Linked DNA regions of Rhinolophus ferrumequinum. The protein of the gene in region 1 interacts with the protein of each later gene in a biochemical or structural test. Links are inferred from orthologs where the notes say so. Each region holds a gene or a part of one and is shown on either strand. Other genes may lie near its edges.

Evidence for each region.
Region 2: the proteins of FYN (region 1) and GTPase HRas-like form a complex in vitro, tested with the Homo sapiens proteins (2 studies listed by BioGRID and IntAct). The link is inferred for Rhinolophus ferrumequinum from reciprocal best matches to the Homo sapiens genes FYN and HRAS.

Annotation. Positions count from the first base shown.
Region 1 is NC_046286.1:63,827,669-63,835,672, reverse strand, and holds the start of FYN (tyrosine-protein kinase Fyn), read left to right. Parts: upstream 1-4,939; 5' UTR 4,940-5,440; intron 5,441-8,004. UniProt on the Homo sapiens protein: Non-receptor tyrosine-protein kinase that plays a role in many biological processes including regulation of cell growth and survival, cell adhesion, integrin-mediated signaling, cytoskeletal remodeling, cell motility, immune response and axon guidance.
Region 2 is NC_046304.1:5,548,334-5,553,880, reverse strand, and holds GTPase HRas-like, read right to left. Parts: upstream 1,453-5,547; 5' UTR 1,438-1,452; coding exon 868-1,437; downstream 1-867. UniProt on the Homo sapiens protein: Involved in the activation of Ras protein signal transduction. Ras proteins bind GDP/GTP and possess intrinsic GTPase activity.

The sequences.
Region 1 (8,004 bases):
AAGATAACTACTACATGAAATATGAAATTAGAAGTGTTTCCATCTATATTCTCACGGTTGACTAAGTCTTATTTCCTGACATTTGAACCACACCGGGTAATAACCCAGGCCTCCCCCGAGGAGTCAAAGAATCAAAGAAGACCATCTCAATCACCATCACCCTTCCTCCCATCCTGGTGGTATATTTGGGAGCCAGGCCTCTTCCTTTGCAAGTTCAATCCCTCCTGACAGGCCCAGCTTACACAGTACTGACGCTAACATGTTGAGAACACGTAGCAGCGGTCCAGTGAACCTGGGCTCTAAAACCATGTTTATAATAACTCTATTATGTCTATTTAGCCCAGTCTCCACCTTTTTAAGATGGAAGAAAACCAAAAGGGTTCTGCTGTGGCCCTGCCAGGAGAAGCTACTATCCAGTTTGGACAAAGTTAAAAAGAGAGAGTTGGTATAAAAGTACCTGAATCCCAGCTTCAGAAGCTCAGCTGGGCCTCTTCCAAAGGCAGTTTAGACACCACCTATCCCCCCACCTTCTGAAGCTCAGGTTGGGGTGGTGTACAAAGGGTCCTTCCCTTCCCATATGAGATTTTTCCCAGGATCATCTCTTCCTGGCTCAAGGCAAGCTGCAGATCCAATGTACACTAAATCTATTAACTACGCTTTAAACATCACGGGTTTTAAAACAGGTAGCTTTTTCTATAAGAACTTGATGATATGAGACGTCAGACGTAAGAGTTTCACAGTAAATCAGGTGTGCCCAGTACAGAGAGGTTAGCCTGGGTACCAGTTTCCCAGTGGCCTCCTGCTCTGACAGTGAAGTTTTTTGAGAGTCATTTTTACAAGTCCTGGGACATCCACTAGAAAAGCTAGAATGGTGGCTGCCTTTGCATGGGAGCAGAAGACATCCTACCTTCTGAGCCCTGGCACGGCGCCTCTTCTGGATACCACACCTGTAACAAGTCTTGTTCAAAAGGGAAGAAAAACAGCAGAGAATCGGAGGAGGACGAGAAAAGAAAAAAATTAAAGTAGCAAAGGAAGGAAAAAGTTTTAAAACTGTTTAACTGTTTCATCTGTTAACTAATAAGTGCCCAAAGTAAAAAGTTCAGAAAACTAAGAAAAAGATGAAAAATAAAGATGACCTATAATCTGACAACTTGGAGAAAATCACTTAAAATTTTTTTGTGTGTACACTTGCATACTTTTCTATGCAAATTTATATATAGATATGTTTAAAAACAATGGAATATATAGTGTATAAACATACATACCTATATCTACACATACTAATTTGTTGTTCACTTTTTTCTCTTCACAATTTATTGTGAAAATCTTCCAATAAATAAATAGTTGACATCATCATTTTAATGGCTATATAGTGTTCTATTATAGATATAACATAATTTACACACTAAATCCCTTATCAATGAATTTTTCCAATTTTGCACTATTATAAGCAATGCTATAATTACTTACCTCATAGGTATACCTTTGCAGTTGTTTGACTCTTTTTCAAAAGTAAAATTGCTGGGTCAAAGTTATATAGTTTTTAAAAGGCTTTTCATAAATGTTATTCAATTGTCTTCCAGAAATGTTATACCAATGAACACTCCCACTAGTAGGGTGTGGGTATCAATTTCCCCATGTTCTTTTAGTCTTTGGCCAACCAGGTAGTTGAAAAACTATATGTTTGCATTGCTTTGGTTACAAGGGAAGTTGAATCTCTTCACATGTTTACTGGCCATTTTGGGATGCAATTGCTTTCACATGTTTTTCAACTAGAGTATTCAGCTTTATTTTCTTGTTGATTTGTAGTAAGTCTACATCAAGGATTCTTACCCTCACTGTATGTATTGCTATTGAGTTATCACTTAACAGAAAATTAAAACTCAAATGTAACAATAAGGCAGGAAAATAGTTTAACTAGTAAGATTAAAACTAAGGACAACGCTACTTTAAAGGCAAGAGAATAAAAATATCAGTCAAGATAAAACAAAGAAAGCCCAGATAGAAATAGGAAACTTTAAGGTGAAAGAGACAGAAAAATAAAAATAACCAGTACCAGTCAAATCAAAGAGCAATTCTAGAACAATGCTACATTCTAACTTCTATAATATAAGCTGTCCATAAGAAAATGAAACAAAACTGGGGGGTATAGATGACAATGTGACTTATCTCAAGTAGGCCAGGGACAGTGTCATGGATCTTTAGTCAACATCTCTGTAGCAACATGCACAGATCAAAATGGGGAAGAGTATCAAAAATCTTTCATAGTACCCTATATACTTGTTCAGACCATTACCAAATCCTCCAGAGGAGGCCAAATCTATTTAAAGCTACATTTAAAAAGGGCAACAGATAAACAGCGAGGCAAAGAAAGAATTACAAAAACAGGATGAAGTCCTGATGGGAGCAGGTTAATCTGTCATTTTAATTGCTTTGTCTCTTCTTTTTGTTCACTAATTAGAGTAAGAAGCTATTAGAGTTACAGACGCTAAAAAGTGACTCTTCTTGAAGAAACCATAACCAATGAGATGCCTCACCCCACCTACTCCAGATTTCATGTAAGAAAAAGTGATTCTCACATGGAATTCCAAAGGGGTCTGTACCTTCGGAGTGGTTTTTCTGAGGGTGCATGACAGTTTATCTTTGAAAAGGAGGCAGATATGCACACACTGCTTCCATGTCCATTTCGTCTTTACAAAAGTCCTATAAGATCTGTTTTACTGTTTCCCCATTTTATGTATCAGAACACTCAGGTCCAGAAAGGGTAAGTGATTTGCCTCATCAAGGTGTTTTCAACAGTGTGCACTGTGGCGCTGTAATCAAAAACAACTCTAGACCAGTTCTGTCCAAGAGAAACATGATGTGGGCCACATGTGCTAGTTTAAACTTGATAGTAGCTACATTAAAAAAAAATTAAAAGAAATAGGTGAATTAACTTTAATAATATATCTTATTTAGCACACTATATTCAGACTATTATCTTCTTAACATGTAATAAACATAAACATTAATTAGATGGTTTGAATTTCTTTTTTTCATGCTAAATCTCTGAAATACAGTATGTCTGTTACATTTACAGCACATCTCAATTTGCACTGGCCACATTTCAAATGTCAAGTGCATTTCAGATGCTTAATAGCCACATGTGCCTAGTGGCTACCACTCTGGATAGCCTGGTTCTAGGCCAGTGGTTCTCAAGGTGTGGTACACAGACCAGCAGCAGTAGCAGCCTCTGGGAACTGTTAGAAGTGCAAATTCGAGGGCCTCATTCCAAACTTAATGAATCAGACCCTCTGGGTGTGGGGGCCACCAATATGTGTTTTAACAAGTCCCTTTCTGATAATTCTGATATACACCAAGGTTTGAGAACCATTGCTGTAGACAGTTACACATTCAAATAAACCTAAGACGGCCATGACAGGCTAGTACCGAGGAAAAGGAGTCCCTTCTCTTGAGATAATTATCTTCTATGGAAATCTTCTAGTCCTAGTTTTGGTTCCATTTCTTGGGACTACGGAATGAATTACCAGACACATAATTTAAACATGGTTTCACTTATCATTTTGTTTAAGGAGAGAAAAAAACCACAGTGACTATCCTATACTATCACCTTGAGTTTAGGTACTAACTTCTATTGTCCTCAGTTTCCTCATCCATAACATGAGGATCATTTAACAAATGTTAGCAACTTTTTAAAATGTACTTTGTACAAAAAGGAAAAAAGTACCTGTCAAAACAGCAAAAGAGGGAGATATTTTAAAATTGCAGTTAAAAAATTAGTGGGCAGGAGAGGTAATATTATAGATTTTGAGCACAGAAGCAGAAGCCAATTCACTTACATTTCTCAGAACATTAGATTTGCTGAAGGGGGATGGTAGGGTTCTTGCCAAAATCGTTAAGGAGAATCAATCTAAGCATGCCTTAAAGTAGAACTTTCAGTAAACAGGAATTACCTATGAAGAAAATCAGGAAGCCAAAGTGTTTCTTTTTATGAAGTTACATCCTGCCATAGAAAAGCTGGATAGGAAATAAGGACTGATGCACTCCCAAATGTATACTAAACCCGCTATTATTTCATCAAGGAAAATCTAGGCAAAAGCTCAGATTCAGTGAAGGGAAAAGAAAAAAATATATAAGAAGGCTGAATGGCATGAGAAACCAAAGACAACCAATGGCTACAAGTAAACATGACTTTGGAAAAAGCTACACAAACAAATCTCTACTCTGTGATTGCAGATTCCTTCATCACTGCCTGCCCTCTCTGCCTGCTTTCACCATTTCAGTTATACTTCTTCCAGACTTTGGCTTGAACATAAATATATATGTGTGTACGTGTCCACGAAAATAGGAGACTAATAAATTAATCCTAATTTCCTCCTCCTCCTTATTATTAGTAATATTAATTGTGCGTTTCCAGGGCTCTCTTCACTTTTCCAGGGTTCTGTGATGAGATTCTACCTTGCTTCTCACTCTTCGGTTTGATCAGAGAAAACGCTTTCAGCACCCTAACACTTTCCCAATTTATCTTTCCACCTTCAAATGAAAAGACACCAGAAAGGCAAGATAGCCCTTTCTTGAGACAGGTTCCCATGGTTTGGGGGGAATGGCAGATTTCTTTCTGCAGTGGCTGTTGCAACCTTCCGCAAAGCAGAAACTGCAGCCCACTCTCTCCCCTCCGTTCCCCACCCTAACCCACTACCTCACAGGTCTACACAATACTTAAAAACACACACACAACTCCTTCAACCCTGCATCCCATCTCAACACAACACGCCAGGATGCCCGCGGCCACTGTTACGCTCAACCCACTCGGTGGCCCCACCCATTTCAGTCCCGCTCCCGCCTCGACACCAATGGTCGCCGCTTATAGCTCCCGAGGGGCCCGTTGATAGGGTAGCGGGGCCTGCCACTCTCAGGGTGCGTCCCGCCCCCTCCTCACTCCGGGCTGGGGCTTGAAGGGCTGGAGCATCAGCGCTGGTAGCTGCTAGCAGCCGCGGCAGCAGCGGCGTGTCGTTGCAGTTGCGCCATCTGTCAAGAGCGGAGCCGGCGGGGAGGGGGCTGCCGCGGGAGAGGAGGAGGGGTCGTGTGAGCCGAAGGCCGCGGAGACCCGCCCGCCCGCTGGCCGCGGGAACAGAGGCGAGGCTGCCCTCGCAGCAGCGCGTCCTTCGCGGTCCGGTCGCGCAGCGCTTCACCCAGCGCACCGTGGACTCCCGGGGCGCACACAAAGCCGCCGCCTGAGCCGCACCGCCCGGCGGCCGCCGCCCGCGCCACGAAGGGATCCGGCCGCCGGGCCGGGAACACCCGGCGCCGCCCCCTCGGCGCTCTCCGAAGGCCCACCGGCTCCCGGGCCCGCCGAAGCAATCGGAGCTGCCTGAGCCGCGCTGGAGGAGGGCGGGGAGAGGACCATGTGAATGGGTTCCGGAGCCTGAGTGCCGAACAGGTAAGCGGCCGGGGATGCGCTGAGGGAGGCCGCGGGGATGCTGCGGAAACAGGCTGCAGGCACCCCCGCGCTCCGCTGCCCCTGCCGTGGGGCCCCGCGCTGCAGTCTCTTGGCCGCCGCCGCCTCTGGGGCGCCCCGCAGGGCTGCCGGGGGGTTGGCCCCGTTCGGAGTCTTCCCGCGGCCGAGCCGGAGGTACCTCTGCGGGGTGCGGCTCCGAGTTACCGCAGGAATAGGGGCCCATTTTCTCGCTCGTGAGCGGGCGCGGGGTGAGAATAGGAATAGGCTTGGAGACCAGGCTGGCCCAGACTCCGCCCCCGCCCTCCTTTCGGGGGCCCCCCGCGGGGACCCAGGCTGTGTGTGTGTTGTTTCAATGTCAGGGATGATGTAATCACTTAATAATTGATGCCCCGTGCTACTTCGCTCCCCACCCCACCCCTGCCCCACTCTTCCACCTCTCGGCCTCCTCCTTCTGCGGCCGTCTCCTTCCCCATCGCATCCTCCTGCCTATTTCTGGCACCTCCCTTGCACTTCCCCCATCCTCCCCTTCACTCTTCCTGTGCCACCACCCACCCACCCCTTCCCTGTCCCCAGTGCTGGAGACTTCGCTCCTCTTTCTCTGCTCCCCACCCTTTTTCCCTCAAGCTCCTTTCTCCTCCCTTCCCTGTTCGCTGGATTTCCTCTCTACTTCCCTAGATCGATGACTATTTTTGTTTGGTCGCCTCCCCTCTCTTATCTCTGCGGCCACTGGCGGAGGGGACTGGGCCAGAAAGAGGCCACCGAGCTTGGGCCCGGGCGGAGATTTGCTGGGACTCAATGAGAAGAGGGATAATAAAATCACCCTTCTTGCCCCTCCTCCCCCAATAAATCACACAGACTCGCCGTGTGTGTGTGTGTGTGTGTGTGTGTGTGTGTGTGTGACACAAAGAGCTCTTTCAGTGCCCGGAGAGGAGACACACAAAGTACCCAAGGATGGGCGCAATGCTTCTTGTTTCTCTTTCCTGGGGCGCCCTTTCTCTCAGATAAAGCAGTTGATCTTCTTTCTGAGAGTCTTTCCTGCCACATTTACCAAAAAATAAATGGCCCCAGATGCAGGGTGGCAGGTGCTAGCATTTTGCTGTATTCATGGACCGGTAGTGTTGACTGGCAGCTGCAGTATTTCTTAGATTTAAAGGGGAAATGATTCCAGCCATCTTAAGAGTTGCTTTACTTTCAAGGTAGCTAGCCACCTACCCAGCCCCCTGCCTTGTTTTAAACACCTCTTTTGAGGGGTATGGGTACTAAGAGCTGGGGTAGGATAAATTGGTGTGGGGCAGAGATTTTGTTTCTGAATCAGAGAATTAAATTCCTGTTTGATATGAGTGAAGCCACCTGACTTGCTTCTTCTCTCAAGTCTAAGGAGCGCTGAAGCCCTTTGAAGTGAAATCCTGACTGCCCAGTGATTTTTGCTTTGCCCTTATATTCAAACAAGTTCCTGGGGCATTAATAACACAGCATTAAATTGATGTTTGGAAGACCACTGGAACCTGCCTCCTCCCTACTTCAGGGTAGCCTGCAGACACCCACATCCTTCCTCTCACCAACCGAGTGACCGACAGACCTTCCACCCTTTGTGCGCTCTTTCTCCTGAGTCCCTGCCCCATGGGTACTGTGAAGAGACTCGTAGATTTTAGGAGGAAATGGTTTGTTAACTATTTCAGGTTTTGGGTACGCTTAGCTAGGAGCAAAGGATGTATAGAATCTTTTGATTGAACTTGAAATCACCTGCTTGGTGTTCCTCTTAAACAGGAAATGTTAATGTAAATCTGGGGGCTTAATGTTCCGTTTTGAAAGCCAATGACTATTACATGCTTAATCGATAATGTGATAAGGTAGGTTGAAACCGTTGATTCCTAAGAGCGTAGCTCTTTGTCATAAGTAATAGAATGCTCTCAAGTTTGTTCCTCAAGATTTTTATTAGAAAAGAGTTGTTGTAATTCATTAAACATTTGCTTCTGTACTTTCTAAGGACATTCATCATGGAACTTTTTATATTAAAGAAAGCAACAGGGTTAATGAGTTCACTGTAAAAAACAAAGGGTTGTTTGTTTGATGCCAGACCCAGGAAGGAAAGTCAGTGTACAGTAAATTCGCATTCTGTTGACCAAGTTAGGGACTTAATGATAAGTTTGAAAAGTGAACAAATGCACATTTGGCTTACTGTGCCTTTACTCTGTGTTATTTTCTGGGTCTGGAATCTTCAACCCCATCTGATTGGCTTGGGTTCTAATTAACCTTTGGGGCTCAGCTCAGAAGTCATCTCCTCTGTGAAGCTTTCTCCATTCCTTCCCCTCCAATTTTGTTTTCAAATTTCAGCAGCAGGCATTATGTTTGACAGGTGTCTGTCGTTAGTTGATCAGCACATTGAGAGAAGGAACTTGGACTTATTTATTTTGTTTCAACAAATGTAAGTTAGGTCTTTGGTATGTGTTAGGCACCTGAATTAATTATGCTAATGTTAGCAGCTATAACAAGTAGGCCTGCAAAACTATAATAGCTCAAAAGCAATAGACATTTCTTATTCCTCA
Region 2 (5,547 bases), on another chromosome or scaffold:
ACCTCTTTGGCTGGATGAAGCACAAGCCATTTCTTGCTTAGATGGGGCTTTCCTTATGTCACAGTTGTGGCCATTCACAGTATAGCATTCCTGAATGACAATCTTGTCTACAGAGTCATGATCATCAAAGGTGACAAAAGCAAAGCCTCGCTTCTTGCCACAGCCTCGGTCAGTCACGATTTCAATCACTTCAGTTTTCGCACTGTTCAAAGTAATCTCTTGGGTGATGTTCTTCAGTGTCGTCTTTAATGCCACCAACCAAAATCTTTTTCACAGTGAAGTGGGAACCGGGTCTTTGAGAATTTCCTCTTGAGACAGCCCTCTTTGGTTCCACACCTCTTCCATCCACGTGTGGCCTTGCCTTCACGGCTGCATCCACCTCCATGGTGGCATCAGTGACAAACCCAAAGCCTCTGGAGCGCTTGGTGTCTGGGTCTCTCCTCAGCACACAGTCAGTGAGCGATCCCCATTGCTCAGAATGGCTCCTCAGACTCTCATCGGTAGTTTCAAAGCTCAAACCTCCGATGAAGGGCTTCTGCAGATGTTCAGGCTCTTGGGGAGACTCTGACTTAGACATGACGACCACAGGATGGGGAGACCTCCACGATGCTTCCTCGGTGGCGTCCACCGACAGAAAGGAGTGATCTCCCAATTCTTTATTAAAGTTAATTTAAGTTATCAGCAAAGTCTAAAGAATGGCATCAGTTCACGACAGTCTATGCAAAGTGTCCTGGGAGGCCTGCGGTCACTGGCCACAGACCGTGGGCTGGCCGGGCTGTGGCCGCACCAGCCTTTCTCCCCTCCCCCCAGCATCCAGCACCGCCAGGCCTGAGCCGGTGGAGGCGGGCACGGGGGACGAGCGGGCACTCAGAAGAGCACGCATTTGCTGCTCATGCAGCCGGGGCTGCCCTCATCTGGCGGGCTCACCTTGCGTAGCTTGTGCTGCCGGATCTCACGCACCAGCGTGTAGAAGGCGTCCTCCACGCCCTGGCGCGTCTTGGCCGAGGTCTCGACGTAGGGGATGCCGTAGCTGCAGGCCAGGTCCTGCGCCTGTTGGGTCTCCACGGTGCGTGCAGCCAGGTCACACTTGTTCCCCACCAGCACCATGGGCACGTCGTCCGAGTCCTTCACCTGCCCGATCTGCTGCCGGTACTGGTGGATATCCTCGAAGGACTTGGTGTTGTTGATGGCGAACACGCAGAGGAAACCCTCGCCAGTGCGCATGTACTGGGCCCGCATGGCGCTGTACTCCTCCTGGCCGGCCGTGTCCAGGATGTCCAACAGGCACGTCTCCCCATCGATAACCACTTGCTTCCGGTAAGAGTCCTCGATGGTGGGGTCGTACTCTTCCACGAAGTGGTTCTGGAAGAACTGGATGGTCAGGGCACTCTTCCCCACGTTGCCAGTGCCCACCACCACGAGCTTATACTCCGTCATGTTGCCTCCAGGGACTCAGCACGAGGTGCTGTGCTGGTGTCCTGTCCCAGCGATCGCTGGAGCTGCAGCCCCTCAGGCCGGAGCGGGTGGGGGTGGGGGCCGGGCGCGCAGCTCTTATGGCGCGCGGGCTCCTGCGGCGGTGGGTGCGGCCTCGTCTGTGGGCGGTGCGCGTGAGCGTGGGGGGCGGACACCAAGACGGTGTCTTTTTAAGAAGACTTGTTCTAATAGCTGTAGTATCTGATGTCCCGCTAGGGCTTGCTTTGTGCCATGTATGTGCTTATGAGTGCTACGAGGTGCTTATTCTCAGTGCGGTTTTTGTGAATGAGGAAACAGGACAGAGGTAATAGATAACTTGCTAAAATCACAGTATATGGGGGAGCGGGATCGGAATTCAGGCAGTCCAGGTCTAGAGTCTAGGGGCTTAATAAACCCACCCTAAGATTCCTCGTCTGTCGACAGACTGCTGAGTATTGATTAGACTGATTTGTTGAAGAAGGAACCTTTTAAAAGTGATGTAACACTTTTATTTACAAATATTAATAAGTATAAAGTGCTGGAAGGGATTATGTAAACATATAATGAAACTTTTTAAAGTAGTTTTTGAAAATATTTTGGGGGCCTCTGCAAGCAAAAACATTGGAAAACTCTGTTCTAGTTTACAGCTGATTTTGGAAGAGAACAATGATCATAATCTAATTTGACTAGAAATAAAAAGTGATAAAAAGTTATTTAAAACTAGTAGAAGTAAAACAATACTTGGACTGTCAGTTTAACGACCTGGAATACATCAATGCAATATTAGTCAAAGACAAAGTAAGAGGCTGTTTTTAATTAGTGCATGAAAATTACATCCTTTATGAAAACGAGAATCAGGAATAACTCCGTTTTGAGAAAAATATTATTAAACAAAGCAAGTGTGAAAGGTAGGCAAAGTGAATTACACCCAAACAATCACAAACCCAGCAAGTATAAGCAAAAATTTTAATGGCCTTTCTTTCTTATTAATAATGATATATGAAGCTATGCACTACTTTCTAAGCTAAGCAATCAAACCTAGCAGAATAAGCCTATGCATTTCATCCAGGATTATGACAGTGGATTATGAAAGGCCCATAGGGAGGAGACAGCTGGTTCTAGGGCTCCCAGCCACCTATTGGAAATTTAAAGGCATTTTCTGCTTTCAGATCCCTATCATGTCCTCTACTTCACTACAAGAAGCAGATTATGACAATCCCTATGGAGCTAATCAGAGGGGTCTCAGGGCAAAGAGGTTATTTTATTCAATTACAAGAATATTCGATGACTATCTACAAGGAGCTCAGAGCTATAGTAATTGAAGACAGTTTTGGGATACAGAAAAGATGAATAAGACAATGAGATAGTTCTTAAGGAGTTCATTGTCGTCTAGGGAGAGGAGAGAAAGAGAAAGCAGGGAAGTGAGAGAGAAAATTGAAAAGCGAGTGTTGTAGTAACTGTGGTCTGAGTGCCAGGAAGAGAGAGAAGTAGGGATTGTGGTGGAAGTAGGTGACTGAGATGGACGTGGCGCACGGATGGTGTTTCATATCAGCATAACAGTGGGTCTCCAAAGAGAAAAACAGGGCAGTGGAACAGAACTATAATTTAAGAGAACTTTCCTGAAGTACAAAAAGATTGGAAACTGCCCACTGAAAGTTACCATGTCCCTGCGAGTACCAACCCAGAATGGCTAATACCAAGACATATCTAGTAAAACTTTTGGATTTAAACAAAGAAAAGAAATCCTTTGGGCAAGAGGTAAAACAGTCACTCAAAAAATGAATTAGATTATCATCAGATTTTTGACAATACTGCTTTATGTTACAGGAAAATGGAATAACATCTTGAAGACAGTTTTTTACTGAGGAATATTCTAGAGGACAAGTTAACAGACAACTGAAATGGTTAGAGACAGTGCCATTAGGGCTGGTGTTGAGCTTTCAACATCAAGTTACTGTAGAACTAAGATTTACTGAGGGTTAGCGAGGAGACAGGGCAGTGCTTATGATGGCTGTTATCTGATCTGACAATGCAGGTATGGAACAACCCTAGAAATAAGGGGAAAATGGGAAGGATATGCAAAAAAAATTTTAATTGACTCTCAGAAATTAAATTCGGCATGCTGTTCTGAGACTGTTGTGTGTAATATGGGATAAGCAATTACCTGTTCATATTCTTCACCTTTCACCTACCAGGATAGAGCCCTCAGATATCACATTGACCTTGAATAGCTCTCTTTTACCAGGCTGTGTATGTATGTATGTGTGTGTGGGTGTATGTTTAATTTGCCACTAGCTACATTGGGGGCTGGGGGAGGGGTTCCTATACCTTTATAACACTACTCCTTGGTTTCGCAGGTTTCTGGTTCTAGGCAGAGGGCCTCTGTACATTCCTATTTTCATTCTCACCGTATTCCTGGCTGTCAGGCTTTGTATGTTTTTAAATCTCAAAGAATATTTATCTTCAGGCTTTTTGTTTATTTTATTAATATCTAAATGTCTATCCTGGGCCACTGATAGGCATTGTCCATTTCCAATTAGATTATGAATGGAATTAATCCATCATTCCACTGGAATATTCCTTTCTGCTGAAATCCCAGTCCCTCTCATGAATTTATCAGCCATGACAAATGCTCAGTGTGGCTTATTTTAGTGTCATTGAATGGCCAGCAGTTTAGTTCTCTTCTTTCCTTTTTGTACTTTCTGTGGCAGAAAGGAGAAAACTTTGGGTGTCTGTTATTCACCGTATGTACCGTATTGTATTTTTCTCCATAGCACTTAGCACAGTGTGACTATTATTTGTGTGTTCATCCACTCTCTCCTGTGGCAGCACCACCTTGTTTGTTTGTCACCGTTTCCTCAGCATCTGACGGCAGTGTTATCTTAATGTTTGTTGAATGAATGCAATGCCTTTTGATATTATGTATTTGTGATAAAGTAAATATGTGTGTTCTTAAAGGACGGCTCCATTAAGTGTACTAGGCTTTATTGTAGAAATTTAGAAGAGACAGAAGTACAGGGAATTTTGTCAAATTCCAGAGAAACATTCTTAAAGTTTCTCATGGTACCTATTATTCTTAAGCTTATCTATATATCTTCCAGACATGAGAACATTTTTTTCCCACCAAATAACTAGCTGTTGCATGATGTTTCACCTAAGTAAATAAACGAGTGAATAAAACAAATGTCAATATTTTAATAGATTGAGATAGGGTTATCATTCAACAATATTATATACCATCACAAAATATCATATTTTTAGTAAGGAAAAATGAAGTTTTTCAGCTAAAAATAAGCTACATTATGCATAAAAAAACATAAAAAGCAAATGCATAGATAAACTTTTCCTTTAAAAATGAATGAAAGTATGCTATATACTAGAGGTGCCAAAAAAATGTATACACATGACTTGTATTCATCTTTTATTATATTTATTATATATTTATTATATATTATATATATTATAATATTATATAAATTTTATTATATAAATATATATTTATTTATGTATATATTTATATATATAAATTATATATATAATTTATATATATTATATATATAAATTTATATATATAATTTATATATATATTTATATATATTTATATATATAAATATATATATTTATTTATATATATAAATATATATTTATTTATATATATTTATATAATAAATAAATATATTTATTATATAAATATATATATTTATATGTTATATAAATATATATATTATATATTTATTATATATTAAGTATTACAATTTTAGTACAGTGTTTTTCTTTATTAAAATGTGTGTTCATTTTTTGGCACCCTCTGTATATAGTTTTCACCTTGATTTTTTAATATTTCGTATTATATCTAGAAGATTGCTCCATATCAATCAATGCATATAGAGTTTCCTCATTTGTTAATGCTGCTCATTATTCCACTGTATAGATTTACAATAATATATTTTACTAGTTATCTATTGATGGACATTTAGGTAATTTCCAGTCCTCTGCTATTAGAACCAAAGCTGCAATATCTCATCCTGTATTTAGGTTATTCCATAATTCAGAGAGGATGTGTATCTGTGGGATGAATTCTGAGAAGTGGACTTT